Regions from separate parts of the Mus musculus genome. Here all the other regions are reported to be linked to region 1. The links are microRNA targets in miRTarBase. Many come from high-throughput screens and were not tested one by one. Region 1 holds a microRNA gene; each other region holds the end of a gene's coding sequence.
The links. Region 1 holds the annotated microRNA mmu-miR-1199-5p (UCUGAGUCCCGGUCGCGCGG, at 1,367-1,386, shown strand). A microRNA usually pairs through its seed, bases 2 to 8, with sites in the 3' UTR of a target mRNA and lowers its output. Matches are read on the target gene's strand: a 7mer-m8 pairs with bases 2 to 8, a 7mer-A1 pairs with bases 2 to 7 and ends in A, and an 8mer does both.

Region 1 (4,065 bases):
GCCTCCCGCTAACCCGGTGGCTCCTCTGCCCCATCTTGGGCCTCCTGGGCAAACTGGTCCAAGCTGACCGCCTTCCAGCCACAATTGCTCGGCTGAGGCCCGGAAGTCCTGTAATGTCTGTGCCCTCAAACACCGCTCATTCTAGCTGGACACTTGGCTGCCAATGCCTTGCGGGCTTTTCTGGAAGGTGGGGGTGGGGAATCTGCCCCAGGGTTTTGAGTGGCGGCAGCGCCGCTGCAAACCAGACAGAGCTGAGCAGCCCCGGGTAGCAGCAGCACCCAGTGCGGCGGCCCCGGGCGACCCTCGGGCTGGACTCGAGCTGTGTTGCCTCAGCGATCAGTGTGCAGAGAAGGCCCGGAGATCACGGGATAGGGGGCGGGGGGAAGGAGAGTGGTGTCGCTGGCCGCAGGCTGGCACTTGCTGACCTAGACTAGTGAGGTCAGCGAAAGACGACCGGGGAAACACTCTGTAAGGAGGCCGTGGTTCAGCGATCAGCGCGGCGCTCCGCTAGAGGTCAGGTCTCCGGAAAGTGATGAAAAAAAAAAAAAAAAAAAAAAAAGACCCCAGAATGCCAGCGTGGTACCAGAGGGAAAGGGCGACACATACCCCCTGGGTAGTGAGTTCAGGGAAGCCCTTTCCGAAGAAGCCACCCCTTCAGTCAACCCGTGTGTTCAGGTGGCGGGAATCCGGAGAGCAGTGGAGGCGCCCTGGCCCATAGGGCGGGTCCAGGGCCACTCGAATCCAGCTGGCAGGTGACGGGGGCGGTGCCCAGTCCTGCCCCCAGGGGATGTTCCTGGAGGCCAGAGGCGGGTCAAAGAAGAGTGCTGGCGACGCCTATGAACCTCGGGCGGCGGCTGTAACTACAGGTACTGCACAGGGCACCGTGTCCTACCTATTTGGGCATCTCAATTCGGCTCTGAGAACTAAAATTTTCAAAGGGCGCCTAACTCCAAACATCCATGTCCTCGGGTGTCCGAGAGTGGAGTCCTGGGGTCGCCTGAAGGCTACGTGTTCCGGGAGCCGCAGAGCCAGGGCACCGAGGGCTGCTGGGGGAGGCAGTGAGGTCCTGGAAACCTCTGGAGAGGAGCACTTGCAGACTCTGGAGCCAGAGAGCCAGGTCCCGCAGGTGCCAGTTGAGCACCGGACCGAGCGCCCGGGCGGTCCACAGCTGGGCCGCCTGGCACTAGTATAACGGAGGTACTGGGGCAGTTGTGCCCCTGTCTCGGCTCAGAGGCCTCCAGGTGTGTTTTCTACCGAAGCCCGCGGCATCCAAACCGGCGCCGGCGGAATTGCAGATGGAGACGCCCATCCAGCGCGAAATCCGCCGCAGCTGCGAGCGGGAGGAAAGCCTGCGCCGGAGCCGGGGTCTGAGTCCCGGTCGCGCGGGCGAGGAACTCATTGAGTTGCGCGTGCGGCCGGTGCTCAGTCGGCCCGGCTCCGGTACTCCGCTGCCGCGCGCCCTGGAGCGCGCTCGGGCGGGCGCGAAGATGCAACGGGACATCGAACGCGAGGCTCACAGGCAGGCGGCGCTGGCGAGCCCCGCGGTTCCGGAGCCTAGCGCCCGGCGGCGGCCGCAGCCGCTGGACGAACTCAAGCGCTTCTTTGAGGCTGCGGCGGAGGACGGCGCTGGCTTGCAGAGGCAGCCAGAGACCGGAGGCCGGCTGCACCCCGCCGTTCAGGACGGCTGTCCGGTACTGGGGCAGTTGCCACCGCTCGTTGCCCCGTCACTGCTGGAGCAGGAGGTGCGACGAGTGCGCGAGCGCGAGCGGGAGCTGCAGTTGCAGCGGCGCAGCATCTACGGCGACGCCGAGGTCCAGGAGCCAGCGCCGAGCCTCACCCGTAAGCGGTCCCCCTGGGCCCTAGAGCTCCAGCTGTCTCCACCTCCAGTGATCATTCATCTGTAGGCTTGCAGACCCTTAACTATTCTCCTGGGGGTTCACCTTCTTTTCTTCACTCCCACTCCTGGAGTGAGGATCCCCACATCCATCAGACCTTGGAACCTTGACTTCTGGCGTTCTCGGGTCCTCTGTAGTACTCGGGTGCCTCTCTACATTGAGTTTGCCTCATTCCTGTTCCTGGGTCCTCAGAACTGGGTGGAGGCCTTCATGGGGAAGAGGGGTGCACACCTGTATGTATATAAGGGGTGCGGCCATCCTCCAGCTGGCAAGAGGAGGGGCAGTCGCGGCTGAGTGTTCCTTCCCCCACAGCGAGCAGGGGAGATGGAAAATTGTCGGTGATCTGGCCTCCGCGGAGACGGGCCTCTGAGAAGGTGGGAGACTCCCTTTCCGATGCTTGTCGGTCTCCCAGCCCTCCCTGCAGCACCTGGGCACTGGGGTGGAGGGAGAAGGTGCCTCTTGGTCCCCTGGAGCGCCACTCTAACCCAAACTCAAAAGTCCTAGACGCGATCCAGAGAGTGAAGAGGAGGTGGAGGCCTAGAGGCCAAACTTCTCCCTGAGGGTGTTCTTTCTCTTCCCCTTTTCCTTCTAGGAGCGCAGACCCTGAGGTCTATGAAGGTTGGGACCTGCGGACAGAAGTAACATACCCTTTGGAGAACCAGGGTAGGGTTACTCTCCAGATCAGCAGAAGGCCTAGAGAGGGAAGGGCTAGCTTTCTTTAATGGCAACTTGAAATCCAGCCCATCTTTGATACTGACTATGGAATTAACCACCTTTCTCCATAAAATTCTCTAGTCTTCCTTGGAAACCCTGCAAAACCTATGAGTGAAACATAAAATAAACTCCTCCTCCCTTTACCTGGGCTTCAGTGCAAGCTATTTTCTACTGGGTCCTCCTTAGTCTGGGTGGGCGGAGGCTGGCAGGTGAAGAACGTTTGGAAAAGCCACCCAAGGATCCCGCCGGAATGTTGGAATTCAAAACGCGCTCTGGTCTCCTTGTTCTGGACTGACTGCGGACCCGGGCTTGGAGGCCAGGGCCCTACTGCCCCCTGGTGGTGAGAACGCAAAATGTTGCTCACCGGCCCACAGACTCCACTCTGGTATCCAGATGTCAGTTTTTATAGGCACCAAAACCATTCTGTGTTCAGGGAGCTGCTAGACCGAGGTGCTATGAAGTTGTATTTCCTGCTCTAGGGATATAAACAATAGTGTAAACATACTAGGGGTGGCTGGAGGGATGGTTTAGGGTAAGGAGTGCTTGCTATTCTTGCAAATGACCCGAGTTCAGTTCCGGGCATCTACATGGGAGGCTCACAACTGCTTATGTCCAGGAGAGCCATTGTCCACTTCTCTCCTCCAGGAAAATCTCAACATACATGGCACCCATTCGCACAAAATGCACACATATTCACATAAATTGAAATAAGGATAATTTTAAAAAAAGAAATACCAATGGTGGTGTTGAAGGATCAAGGACCTGGCAAGTGTTCTGGTGACCATCTTTGCTTGTTTCTTTTAAAACCGTGGCTTAAAAAAAAAAAAAAAAAGATAGAAAAAAGGCCGGGCGTGGTGGCGCACGCCTTTAATCCCAGCACTCGGGAGGCAGAGGCAGGTGGATTTCTGAGTTCGAGGCCAGCCTGGTCTACAAAGTGAGTTCCAGAACAGCCAGGGCTATAAAGAGAAACCCTGTCTCGAAAAACCAAAAAAAAAAAAAAAAAAAGATAAAACCGTGGCTTCGTATATCCCATATTGGCCTGAAATTCCCTTTGTGGTCGAGGGTGACCTAGAAAGTTTTAAAAGATTTATTTTTTGTATTCATGCTGTATGTATAAGTGTTTTGTTGGCTTGTATGTGTGTGTGTGCCTGTGTGTATGTGTGTGTGCCTGTGTGTATATGTGTGTGCCTATGTGTATGTGTGGGCCTGCAGAGGTGAGAAGAGAGTCAGATCCCTTGGAACTAGAGTTCCATGTGAGTGCTGAGAACTGAACCATGATCCTCCTAAAGTACTCTTAGCTGCCAAGCAACCTCTCTTTATTTTTAATTATAGGTGTGTGTTTGTTGGGGTATGTACATGAGAGTGCAGATATACAGATGCCCTCAGAGTCCAGAGAGACTGTTAGATCCCCCTAGAGCTGGAGCTACAGACAGCTGTGAACTACCAGAGATGGTGT
Region 2 (4,065 bases), not on the chromosome of region 1:
CCCCCGATTTGGGGGCTGGTTTGCCATCCGAGGGGTTATGTTGCTGCCAGGGATTGAAGTGCCAAATTTGCCACCCAGAAAGCCCCCTGACTGTGTGCCTACAAGAGCTGGCCGCATCACTCTGCTTGAAGGTTTCAATTTCCATTGGCGGGACTGGACTTACCGTGATGCTGTGACTCCTGAAGAACGGTACTCCGAAGAACAGAAGATCTACTTTTCCACCCCACCTGCCCAACGCTTGGCCCTATTAGGCTTAGCCCAACCCTCAGAACACCCTAGCACTACATCTGAGCTTCCTCTTTCCTTGCTTACTAAACCTCAGAATTCCAGGAGAGCTCGAAGCTGGCTGAGTCCAAGTGTCTCACCACCTGTATCCCCAGGCCCTTGATAACTTTTCCCCTTCAGGATCCCACTCATAGTAGATTTATTTTAAGTAGGATTTGGGTTTTGAAAAAAACACTTTCTCCTTTTTTAGTTTTTTTGAGACAAGGTTCCTCTATGTAGCTCAGACCAGGTTGGCCTCAAGCTAAGAGAGATCCATCTGCCTCTGTCTTCTCCAGAGTGCTGATTTTTTGCACTGTGGAAAAACCATTTTATTTTAGGTAGGATTTCCTGATAATAGTGCTTCAGACAGTCAAGACTCAATTTACATTGGTCAAGATAAATCATATGCCAAGGCAGACTCAAAAATCAGCAGTTGACTTCAAATATTAGACTCATGCCCATTACTATTTTTTTGTTTTTGTTTTTTGTTTTTTCAAGACAGGGTTTCTCTGTGTAGCCCTGGCTGTCCTGGAACTCACTCTGTTGACCAGGCTGGCCTCAAACTCAGAAATCCACCTGCCTCTGCCTCCCGAGTGCTGGGATTAAAGGCGTGCACTACCAAGCCCGGCTTTGTGTAGTACTCTTAAGATACTATTTAAGAACCATGGTTCTCACTGTTCGTTCCTAAAGCTGCTATCATTTAATGCAGTTCCTCATGTTGTAGTGACCGCAACCATAAAATTATTTTTGTTGCTACCTAATAATTTTGCTAGTTATGAATCAATTGTCTTAGGGAATCCAGTGAAAGGGTTGTTCAACAACCCCTGGGGGCTGAGAATCACAGATTTAGCAGCTCCTAGGGGTACCCACCACATTGAGCTATGCTGAATTAATATTTAAGTAAACTACATTGAAACTGCCCCGACCTACAGTGTGCTATTACTAAAGGCTCAGGCAATCTTATACTTATGCTCAAATAGATGTACTTTGAATTCTGGAATGTTGGAAGGACATGATGTCATAGGATTATTTTGTCAACCCTAACCAAGAATCCAGAAGAAACTTCCTGACTTTACAGGATCAGAAAGGAATATTCTCTCATCACAGCTAAAATACAAGTAGTTGAATACAATCATATCCAAAGCCACCAACTTTGTTTGCCTGTTTGTTGATTCCAGAGATAGTTTCCCAATTCTGATATTTCAAATTTCACTCCCAGGGTCCAGGGAGGTTAGTTGGTAAATTGTAATGTGCTGTTTTTACTTGTTGAAAACTAAAACAGGAGACAGACCAGTCTCAGACTCAATCATGTTTCCTTGAACAGGAATCCACCCCCGCCCTCCAAACCCTGCAACAGGGAGGGAGAAGCAAACTACTGAGGGTATTAAGGGATCTGCAACCCTATAGGTGGAACAACATTATGAACTAACCAGTACCCCGGAGCTCTTGACTCTAGCTGCATATATATCAAAAGATGGCCTAGTCGGCCATCACTGGAAAGAGAGGCCCATTGGACTTGCAAACTTTATATGCCCCAGTACAGGGGAACACCAGGGCCAAAAAGGGGGAGTGGGTGGGCAGGGGAGTGGGGGTGGGTGGATATGGGAGACTTTTGGTATAGCATTGGAAATGTAAATGAGTTAAATACCTAATAAAAAATGGAAAAAAAATATCTAATAAAAACTAAAATAAATTATTAAAAAAAAAAAAAAAGAAAGAAAGAAATTACACCCAGGAAGGAGAGAGGTTAAGGGCACTGGATACTCTTGTAGAAGTCCTGAGTGATTCCCAGCAATCACATGATGTGACCTGGTGCTGTCTTCTGGCCCGCAGGTATATGTGCGGGGAGACCATGTGTATACATGACATGTATATAACATGTATATAGTAAATCTTAAAAATGCATCCTGAAAACTGGTAGGTGTAACATTTCCAAGGTTAGTGTTACTTATTCCGTGATATAAAAATGTAGTGGCAAAAGGGAAAAAGAAGCCCTAATAACTTTTTCAAGCACTTTGCTGTGCCCTGCCCAGAACTCCAATGTTCCATACTTTGGTTGCTGGGAACAAGGGGACAATTATTGGAGCTTATTGGCCAGCAAAGCTCAGTAAGCACCCAGTTCAATTAAGACTGCCTCATCAGGTGGCTCACAACTGCTTCTCATTCCAGCCCCAAAAGGTCAGACACATTCTTCTGGTCTACAAACAAGCGAAGTGTTACCATGTAGCCTAATCTAGCACTCATCTATGAGATTAAAACTTGACAGGCCCAGTGGTCATTCCTTTTTCCTCCTAGATTACATTCATATTTGTGGGAGAGAGGCATATCACAGTGCATTTATGAAGTCAGAGGACAACTTGTAGGAAGGAGTCAATTGTCTCTTCTTCCACCATGTGGCAAGTATCTTTAATGTGGTGGTTTGAGTAGGCACAGTCCCTAGACTGTTTTTGACTGCTCGGCCATAGGTAATTGCACTGTCAGTAAGTGTGGTCTTGGTGTGAAGTGTCACTGTGGGAACAGGCTTTGAGGTGTCCTATACTCAAACCACACCCAGTGTGGCACACACATCTTTTTCTGCTTAGAACTCACAACTCCTTAGCCAGCACCATATCTTCCTGTACTGTGCCATGTTTCTCACCATAATGGACTAAATAATGACTATAAGCCAGCCCCAATTAAATGTTCTCCTTTTTTAGAGTTGCCATGGTCAGAGTCTCTTAACAGCAATAAAACTCTAAGATACCCAATGAACTTCTTATTGGCCAAGTCCTATTTATTTTGCAGAGCAGACAGACACTAGGCATTTATCCTAAGAAGCAAAAATTCTGTTCCATGCAACCCTCCCAGCACTAAACAGCTCAAATAAATCTTTCCCAGACTTGCCTATAACCCAGCAAACATGAACTGCAGTGCAATGGCTGAGAGGACAGCAGGGCTTGGGTCTGCTTTTCAATCTAAAATATTGTTAAACTAAAAACTTTCTTCTGTGTGGGTATGTGTACTGAAGCCTTTTTTTCCCTTTAAAGACCAGGCCTAATGCATCACACAGGTGAACCTCTGATCCTTTTGCCTTCAGTTCACTAGTACTGAGATTACAGGTGTGTACTATCACACCTTGTTTACATGGCAATAGGGTTATAACAAGGCTTGTGCACACTAAACGTAATAGTTAACTTCTGTCAACTTGACAGTATTTTTTTTTCATTTATTCATTCACCCAGGAGAAGAAACCTCAATTTAAACATTTCCAAGATTAGAGTGGTCTGTGGGACATTTTCTGCTTCAGTTCCTCCTTGAAGTCCTACCCTGACTTTACCTCAGGTATGACTGTGACCAGGAAGTATAAGCCAGATACTTTTTAGTTGCTGTGTTCAGCAACAAGTAAAACAGAATACCAGGCAAGCACTCTACCAAAAGCTTTGTCTCCAGACCTGAGGCACCTTTCAACCTTTCAAACCCAATTTTCTAAGAAAAACAGGGGCTTTGGAGATAGTTCAGCTGTGACATGCTTGTGAGGAAGCAATTTACTCCATGGAACTCCCATTTAAAAAAAAAAAAAAAAGCTAGGCATGAAGCAGACAGTGGTGGCACACACTTTTAATTCCTGGCAGATTAAATAGGCAGGTAGATCTTTCAGAGGCCAGCCTAGTCTACAGAGTTCCAGGACAGCCAGGGCTGTTACACAGAGAAACCCTGTCTCGAAAAACAAAAGGCCAACTATGGTAATCCATGCTTATAAAACCAGCACTAGAAAAGTAGATCCTGAGAGCTTACTAGCCTCACATATACATCAAGTTCTAG
Region 3 (4,065 bases), not on the chromosome of region 1:
AACCAAGCAGGAGACAAGATCCCAAAGAACCAGTCCCAAAATCACCATGTTGTAGTCACAGGGTGTGCATGGACAACAAAGCATCCCAGGTAAAGATGGCAAGGGTCTAGCAAGGGTAGAAAGCCAACAGGTCAGCTGACAAAGGAGTATGTAGTTCATGTGTTGCTTCTGGGTACTATGTACACCTTCCCACACTTTCCCACACACCCTATTCCTGGCCCACAATCCACAGCTACCCTGAGAAATCTCTCTATATGACCAGCTCTTGAGTGTTGTATCCACTTCCTTAACTGCCCCTTGGCATGCATCTCAGACTATAGTCTAAGATATAGACTTAGTCTAAATGTGCAGAGTTCAACCCCAAATATACCTGGGAGTCTTAAGGCCAGTTAGAAACATGCCAGTTAGAAACATGCCATTCACGTATTTCACAATAAACCATTGGTCTCCTCAGCTCTCATTACAGCCATACTCAGGCCCAGTGTGAAGGTTTGGAAAGTAAACTCTGGGAACAGGATCTCTAGCTGCTGTAGGCCCCATGCTTGAAGCTACCTTCCAGCCATTCCATTAAGTTTTCTCACCACCCCTTCGGCCCACCAGGCCTGAATGTAGGATCTCAGCACAGGTCCTGCCCCCCAAGAGGGCTGTGGGCCATGGACCCCAAGGCCTTCCTATATCCACAAGAGCTCCCTTTTGTCCCCAGGGACAAGTGTCACCTGTGGATCTGCACAGAGACCTATTCACATTCCCTATTGGACACGGACATACAGAAGTTGAAATGACACACTACCCTGTGTTCAATAGAACGAATGTTCCAGGCCAACTGTTCTGTCAGGCTTCAATGTCACTGGACCTATGTCCATACCTCATGGCCAACAGATACAACTCAGAGGCACACAACCTACCCCAACTGGCTGAGAAGTCACTTGGTCATCAATAGCGTAAAGCAGGTCAAGGCACAGATGTCCTTCCTCTCTCTGCATCCCAGCTTTCATTGTAAAATGATAAATTCATGCTTTGCTAGTCATGAAACATCAGCCCTAAACAATGACTGCCATACAGTGTTCACCCAAAAGGCTCCACAGAGACTGTGTATTAAATATCAGGCAACACAGAGATGCTGTGCTCTCCCTGATGGCCAAAGCAGGAGTGGAAATTTGGCACTAAGGTAGTTACTCTCTGAGGCCCAAGAGCAGCCATGGTTACCAATACTATGGTTCTTCCCCGAACTCCACAGTGGCGCAGAGCTGGGGGGTGGGGGGTTGGTTCAGCAAGTAAAATTGCATGTGAGTCTGATGACCTGAGTTAGATACCTCACAAAGTATCCTCCAATCTTCATATATCATGGTAGCTCACACTCTCTCAAACACACCATAAGCAATTAAAGATTCTTTTTAATGTCTAAGAACTACAACCCAACTGAAACACTGTTCTATGCTTACTAGTGGTTGGAATTAAAGAAAGTACATTTGCAACCTCAGGCTAAAAGTGGGCCACAGAAGGCACACGCTAGCAGAGGAAACACAACTGTAAGAACAGCCAAAAGCAGTCAGGCAGTGGTGGCACACGGATTTAATTACAGCACTTAGGAGGCAAAGGCAGGTGAATTTCTGAGTTCAAGGCCAGCCTGGTCTACAGAGTGAGTTCCAGGACAGCCAGGGCTACATACACACACACACAAACCTGTCTTGAAAAACAAAACAAACAAAACATGAAAAAAACCCAAACAGCCAGAGCAGGAAATCTATTCTTTCCAAACGAAGACCCCTTTTCAGAGCCAGTTTGTGTTAGCTCCTTTATTACATGAACACAATGCTTGTCTCAGAGGATACTAGTGTTGCAGAACACACACACACCACACACACACAGATCCTGGACAAAAGACCAGCATCAGGACCTATCCCCAAGTACAGAACACTCCCCATGGCCTCCAGAGCCCATAGAGATGGTTCCTTGAAGTTCTGTGAAGATCTTTATTTTTGTTTGGATGTGTGTACAGAGGCTACAAGAGGAAATCGGCTTTCCTGGAGCTGGGGTTGGAGTCAGACAAGCGGTTGTGAGCCATCCAATGTGGATCCTGGGACTTAAACTTGAACAGCAAGTGGTCTTAAGTGACGAGTCATCTCTCCACCCTCCCTCGGAGATTCTGAACCATGACTCTTCAACGCACTAGGAAGACAGGCAGATCCCGTCATAGTCTTTGTTATATGTGTGCTTGCACACACATGCCAGAGTCAGTGTCTAATGTCTTCTATCACTTTCCAGCTTATCTTGTTAACCCCCCAGGATCGAAACTCCACTTACCATCTCCAAATGCTGGAATTACAGCTGTGTGCTGCCATGCCTGGCTTTTTACCTGGTGCTGGGATGTGAACTCAGGTCCCCTTGCTTGTACAGCGAACACTCCAGCCGCTGAGCTCCTTTTCCATGTTAGAGTCTTCTGGCTCAGCTCCAGCAGGGTGAGTGCCAGCCAAGGCTGTAGCTATTCCTATACCTCACCTATGCTGCAGCTTCTCAGACATGCTTAAACACACTCAAGAGCTAAATGCTTTTTACAGTAACCCTGAGCAGGGGTCACAGAAAGGGGACTAGATCATGAGCCAGCAAGATGAGTCAGAAGAGTGTTTGTTTTTTTAAGTCCTTGCTGCAGGAACCTGATGAGCTGGGCTTGATCCCCGGGACCATGGTGGAAGGAAAGAACCAACTCCTGAGTAGGGCAGGTGTGATCCCCACGTTTGTGTTCTGGCACAAGGTACACATGAGTACATGCACCTGTGAGTGTACACACACACACACACACACCCTGCTCCATCTGCTGTGGCTGGGGGGAAGGCCTGCTACTTGAAATGTCACAGCCCCAAACCCAACTTGAGCTGGGCTCAGAGGATTCAGGTTTCCAAGTGAAGAAGTAGCCATGAAAGCTGAGAGGTGGTGGCACGCGCCTTTAATCCCAGCGCTCAGGAGGCAGATTTCTGAGTTCAAGGGCAGCCTGGTTTACAGAGTGATTTTTAGGACATCCAGGGCTACACAGAGAAATAGTATCTAGAAAGAAGTGGCAATGACACCTGCTCTGGGCAGAGACAATGTGTACACGGCCTAGGGGATACATGTGATGTCCTTGCTGCCATGAAGTAACACAAGTAAAAATAGGAAAAGGGTTTATTTATTAAAGAAGCCATCTGTGAGTCAGTCTGGTTAAATTAGCACACTTGACATAACACTTTGGATCAGAACATGCCTTCTTTTAAATACATTGGGCTCCACAAGCAAACACCTAAGGGTCAATTCAAGTAGCACTTCAGGAGCCCAGCAGAGTATCTGGAGGGACGGGCAGCAATCATTCACCTTCCCAATGCAACAGCCACTTTCTGTAGACACCTGTCAGAAGCTAGGACTGCAACTTTCAAGCCATGTGGCAGAAGTTGATAAGCTGTTAGGTCTGGAAAGGAGAGTCCGAGAAGCTGTGGTCCAGGCAAGATCCCGGCTGAACCCTGTGCCCACTGCCTCACAGACTGCTGAGACTGCACAGCCAAGGAGCACAGTAGGTACCACCTACGTGCGATTCAGCGTCTGGAAGATCCTAGAGATCTGCAGCATGACCGGGCCCGTCTCTGGGTCGTTCATCCACTGGGTGCTGTTAAGCGGATTCTCCAGCATGTCTTCAAATGCTGTGGGAAGACGACAGAGCTGAGTGGTAGCACCCAACACCAACAAGCATACTGAGCCTTTCTCAATGGCCCTGACACTCACCCTTACGAGCCAACCATAGTGCCTGAGCTACTGACCAAAAAGACTTCAGAGGCTGTTGGCAGGGAAGCAGACTGCCTGTGAGATCACAGCACCCCCAACTCAGAGCCATCAGCAGGGTAAGGTGGTCAGCTGCCCATGCTTACATCTTTTACAGAGCAATGGACTGCCTGTGTGCTCACAGTATTCCAGATCACAGTCCACAAGTGGGGTAGTCAACAGCCTGGACTCATGGCATTCCAACTCTGGAAAGCTACCAGCAGACCCAAAAGTCAGGTTTGCAAATACCCCTTTCCACACACCACAGGAAACAGCCAT
Region 4 (4,065 bases), not on the chromosome of region 1:
TAAATAATCTTTCTAAAGTGTTAAATTATTAATCCTCTTCTACACATGCTTTTTAACCTGTTACTTATTGCAAAGAGAAACAACCCAATCTCTGTAGGTCTGGCTTTGCTCTTTGGGCCTATATACCATAAATTATGGAGCATCTGCTGCTGCCTTTGCAAGTTTTAAAATGTCTTTGGAACATTATCTCATAGGCTGGCTATAAGAAAAAATTATGGAAAAAGTCAACTGCAAGAAAGAAGCGCTTGAGGGAATTTGTGTTCTGCAGCAAGACCCAGAGTAAACTCCTGGATAAAATGACGACATCTTTCTGGAAGAGGCGCAACTGGTACGCTGGCGATCCTTACCAGATGTACCACGATCGAACAAACCTACGAGTATAGTTCAGAGCTATCATAGTTCCCAGCTATGGAATGTGGGTCTTTGTGTACATAATGCCCTTGCAAAGTGAGTATGCGTTAAACTGTAAACTGTACCAGCTGATCGGCAAGCTTAGATTACCACCATTGTGCATTAAACATTCCCAGAGTTGGTCATAGAACTAAAAGTTAAATTTATTGTGCATTATTTCAAAAAACTGGTAATGGCTTTCCTTATTTCTGGAATCTTGGATGAGGAAAAACACGAAAAGACGCTCAACAGTGGGCCTTTGTGTGGAATTGAGATGGTATCCAGGTTTTTGCACATGCTAAACAGACATCTTACATGCCTATTCCCAATATGACACATGCTGTGTTTAAAAAATAAATACCTAGGAACTCAGGAACCTCCTCACTGTCTCCTACCTGTAACTCTCTGCCCCAGCTTTGGGGAGGGCAGGAATTGGATGAAGCAAGAGATGGTGGGACTTTATGCCTTGGTTCTACTGTGAGAGTGTGTGGTGTGTGTGTGTGTGTGTGTGTCTACTCACCATCACTCTCTTTAGTCTTGGCTTTTGTTTATGTAAAGTTTCTATCTCTCAGACTCCCTTCAGCCTGAACCTTTGGGTTCCCTTTAACATTACAACCCTCAACTCTTGTCATCTCTTCTCTCTTAATTGCCAGGGAACTCTCATTGGGCCATCCTGCCTTTTCCTCGTAAGTCTGAATCAATGCCATCATGCAATGTAGAGCTTATCTGTTTGTGGCTAGGACTCCACCCAGGCTCTCTTAGTTGTATCAGTAGGTTCATATGGAGTAAAAAGGTAGGTGTGAGCTGTTTTCCTTAGAGGTACATAGAGTAGCAGGGCACTTTCATCTTGTGTCCTGGGTTCTTTGTATTTATGACAGTTATTACTAATTTTATTGTAACAGGATACTTTTCATAAAAATAAATCACCTTCCCAAATACCCTTCTTGAAATACATAGCTATATAATAAACTCTTTTGCCCAGTTTTTCTTTTCTACTTTACTTTTTATTTTTTACATATGAGTATTTTGTCTGCATGTGTGTATGTGCCCTTGAAGGCCAGAGGAAAGTTGTTGGGTCTACTGGCATTGGAATTACAGATGGTTGTGAGCCACCATGTTGGTGCTGGGAATTGAACCTGGGCCCTCTACAAGAACAGCCAGTTCTTAAATGCTGAACTGTCTCTCCAGGCCTCTGCCCAATTTTTCAAAGGCACTGAATTTTTAAAAAGTTTATCCACTTAAGATTTCTTATTTTCATTGGTAAAGATCAGCTTTTTTTTTCCAGAATTCTCTAAAACGCAGGGTGGAAACTAAGGGAGAAAGTTGCCTGTCATTTAATGAGACTGATGTCAGCTGTGCTCAGAAGGCAACAGTATCATTCATTTTATCTTTTTGTTTGTTTGTTTGTTTGTTTTTTCAAGACAGGGTTTCTCTGGCTGTCCTGGAACTCTTTGTAGACCAGGCTGGCCTCGAACTCAGAAATCAGCCTGCCTCTGCCTCCTGAGTGCTGGGATTAAAGGCGTGGGCCACCACGCCCAGCTAGTATCATTCATTTTAGAAAAGAGTCTGGCCATTCCATCCTGAATGCACATGACTTTGTCTGATCTCAGAAGCTAAGTAGGGTCAGGTCGGGCCTGTTAGTAGTCAGATGGAGAAAGATGCAAAAGTTACACGTGGTTTACAGAGAGTCAGAATTGATGCTGCAGGCCGAGAGAGTGACTCTCTGCTCTCCCATCAGAACCATCTGGAAGCATTTCCAAACAAAGCAGCCTGCCTCATTGAAAATTCTATTAAGGATGAATGACTGTTTGAAATCCATTGATGATAACATGAAGTCCCCCATTTAGTAGAATAAGGCAATCAGTTGGTGTTTTGATGGCAGGTAGGCCAGGACTTTGAGGACCATTCAGTTTTTGTTTTGTTTTGTTTTGTTTTGCTTTGTTTTGTTTTGTTTTGTTTTTCGAGACAGGGTTTCTCTGTGTAGCCCTGGCTGTCCTGGAACTCACTTTGTAGACCAGGCTGGCTTCGAACTCAGAAATCCGCCTGCCTCTGCCTCCCGAGTGCTGGGATTAAAGGCGTGTGCCACCACTGCCCAGCTTAGGTTTGTTTTTTTTTTAATTTTTTTTTAATTTATCCATTTGAAGCCAGTTCTTCATTAAATGGAGAGGGATGTAGAATGTCGTAAAACCCCATATGTGTGTATGTGTGTATGTGTGGGGGCAGGTGATAGAGAGCAGGCGTGTGACTTGAGCACCTCATACACCAATGGCTCTGCCCCGGTGGCTCGTGCTGTGCTCACCCCTGAGGCGGCAGAAGCTGAGTGCTGTGAGGCTTTCGAGGTTCCTCGCCTGCACAGTTCCTGCTTCCCGCACATCTGTGGCACTGTGCTGAAGCTAAGGAGGGAGACACTGCACAGCCTTAGACTTTTCTAGAGTCGACATGGATGGTTCAGATCTCTGTTACATGGCCTCAGTGCCTTGGCTTCCCCTGTAGCCAAGGACAGGCTAGGCAGAGGACAGCGGCCACAGGCTGAAGTAGAAGGGCTGCAGGCACACCTCGGATGGAAAGGGAACTTCTTCATACATACAGCTTTTGTATGTGGGTAGGGGAGCCTTTCATCAAAGCCAAGTTTTTAGTTTGACAACAAAGCAGTTTGCTTTAGAGCCTGCCTAAATGATGTTCAAGTGTATGCATAACTGTTTATTTACATGTAATTTATTGAACACTTGTCATATTTAAGCAAATCTGCAAAACTCTGCTGCACCTCATGCCAACCTTATACAATCTTATACACGAGCTATCATTTATCCCTGATATAAATTGAAGGCACTAAAGCTTATAGAAGCTGAAATAAATTACTCTAAAATATAGCTAATGCATCCCAGATCCCCTGTCTAACTCTTTGGAATCTTGTGTACTTCCTTTGATTTTCTAACAACATAGGATACTCATATCTTGATCAACAAATGACTGTGATCTGACACTAGTAGTAAATACTCTACCCGTTCAAGTCTGAGTTGTGTGACTTTGCTCTCTACCTGTCAACTCTGTTGGTGCATAACCCTGGCTTAGTAAATGAGTAATGAATGAATGGATTTCTAGTCTTTCTTCCCATCTCTTCTTCCTGTTTTCTGCCCTCTGAATCTGCTGCTTTAGTTTCTAGTCTGTGTACTGTAAAAACAAGAGAACCGACCACACTTGAAGGTCTTTGTGACCTCCCAGTGAGGCTAGAGTGAGCCTGCTGCCTTACTGTTGGTTGGTTGGTTTTTGAGATAGAGTCTCAATTAGCCCCAGCTGGCCTCAAATTGATGTGTAACTGAGGATGACCTTGAATTTCTGATCCTCTTGTCCCTACCTCTGGATGCTGGGATGGATGGATGAAAGTCATGTTATATCACATCCTGTTTATGCAGTGCTGGAGACAGAACCCAGTACCTTGTGCATTCTCTATGACACTATGATAGCGATGGCCCTGGTGCCTGGTGCTCATAGTTTCAAGGCAAGGGATGCAGAAGTGCTATGGGCATTTTTACCATCCACAGTGGCTCTGCACATACACAAGCCTGTTCTAACCTGCATAGGCAATCCCCCATCTGCAAGTGAAGAAAAACTCAGGAAGAAAACTGCTACCCAGTTCTGCCCATACAAATAAAACTGCCCACCAGTGAACTGCTC

Region 2: miRTarBase lists Mmachc as a target of mmu-miR-1199-5p. Seed matches in the 3' UTR shown: 7mer-A1 at 827-833.
Region 3: the mRNA of Ubac1 is a reported target of mmu-miR-1199-5p. Seed matches in the 3' UTR shown: 7mer-A1 at 2,972-2,978 and 7mer-A1 at 1,610-1,616.
Region 4: the mRNA of Mrpl35 is a reported target of mmu-miR-1199-5p. Seed matches in the 3' UTR shown: 7mer-A1 at 1,864-1,870 and 7mer-A1 at 2,420-2,426.

The regions. Positions count from the first base shown.
Region 1 is chr8:84,008,915-84,012,979 of GRCm38, reverse strand. Mir1199 (microRNA 1199) reads left to right here and starts at 1,347; the gene lies at 1,347-1,465. It overlaps Misp3 (MISP family member 3), which reads left to right and starts at 1,260. Exons shown (of 3, transcript NM_001291292.1): 1 at 1,260-1,839; 2 at 2,208-2,269; 3 at 2,488-2,752. The coding sequence starts at 1,296. The coding sequence ends at 2,502.
Region 2 is chr4:116,699,780-116,703,844 of GRCm38, reverse strand. Mmachc (methylmalonic aciduria cblC type, with homocystinuria) reads left to right here. Exons shown (of 4, transcript NM_025962.3): 4 at 1-1,411. The coding sequence ends at 388. It overlaps Prdx1 (peroxiredoxin 1), which reads right to left. Exons shown (of 6, transcript NM_011034.4): 6 at 3,845-4,065. Among named protein-coding and RNA genes, the nearest start is that of Mmachc, 6.6 kb to the left of the region's middle.
Region 3 is chr2:25,995,400-25,999,464 of GRCm38, forward strand. Ubac1 (ubiquitin associated domain containing 1) reads right to left here. Exons shown (of 10, transcript NM_133835.2): 10 at 1,559-3,668. The coding sequence ends at 3,553. Among named protein-coding and RNA genes, the nearest start is that of Camsap1, 14 kb to the left of the region's middle.
Region 4 is chr6:71,812,417-71,816,481 of GRCm38, reverse strand. Mrpl35 (mitochondrial ribosomal protein L35) reads left to right here. Exons shown (of 4, transcript NM_025430.3): 4 at 195-3,485. The coding sequence ends at 383. Among named protein-coding and RNA genes, the nearest start is that of Mrpl35, 9.3 kb to the left of the region's middle.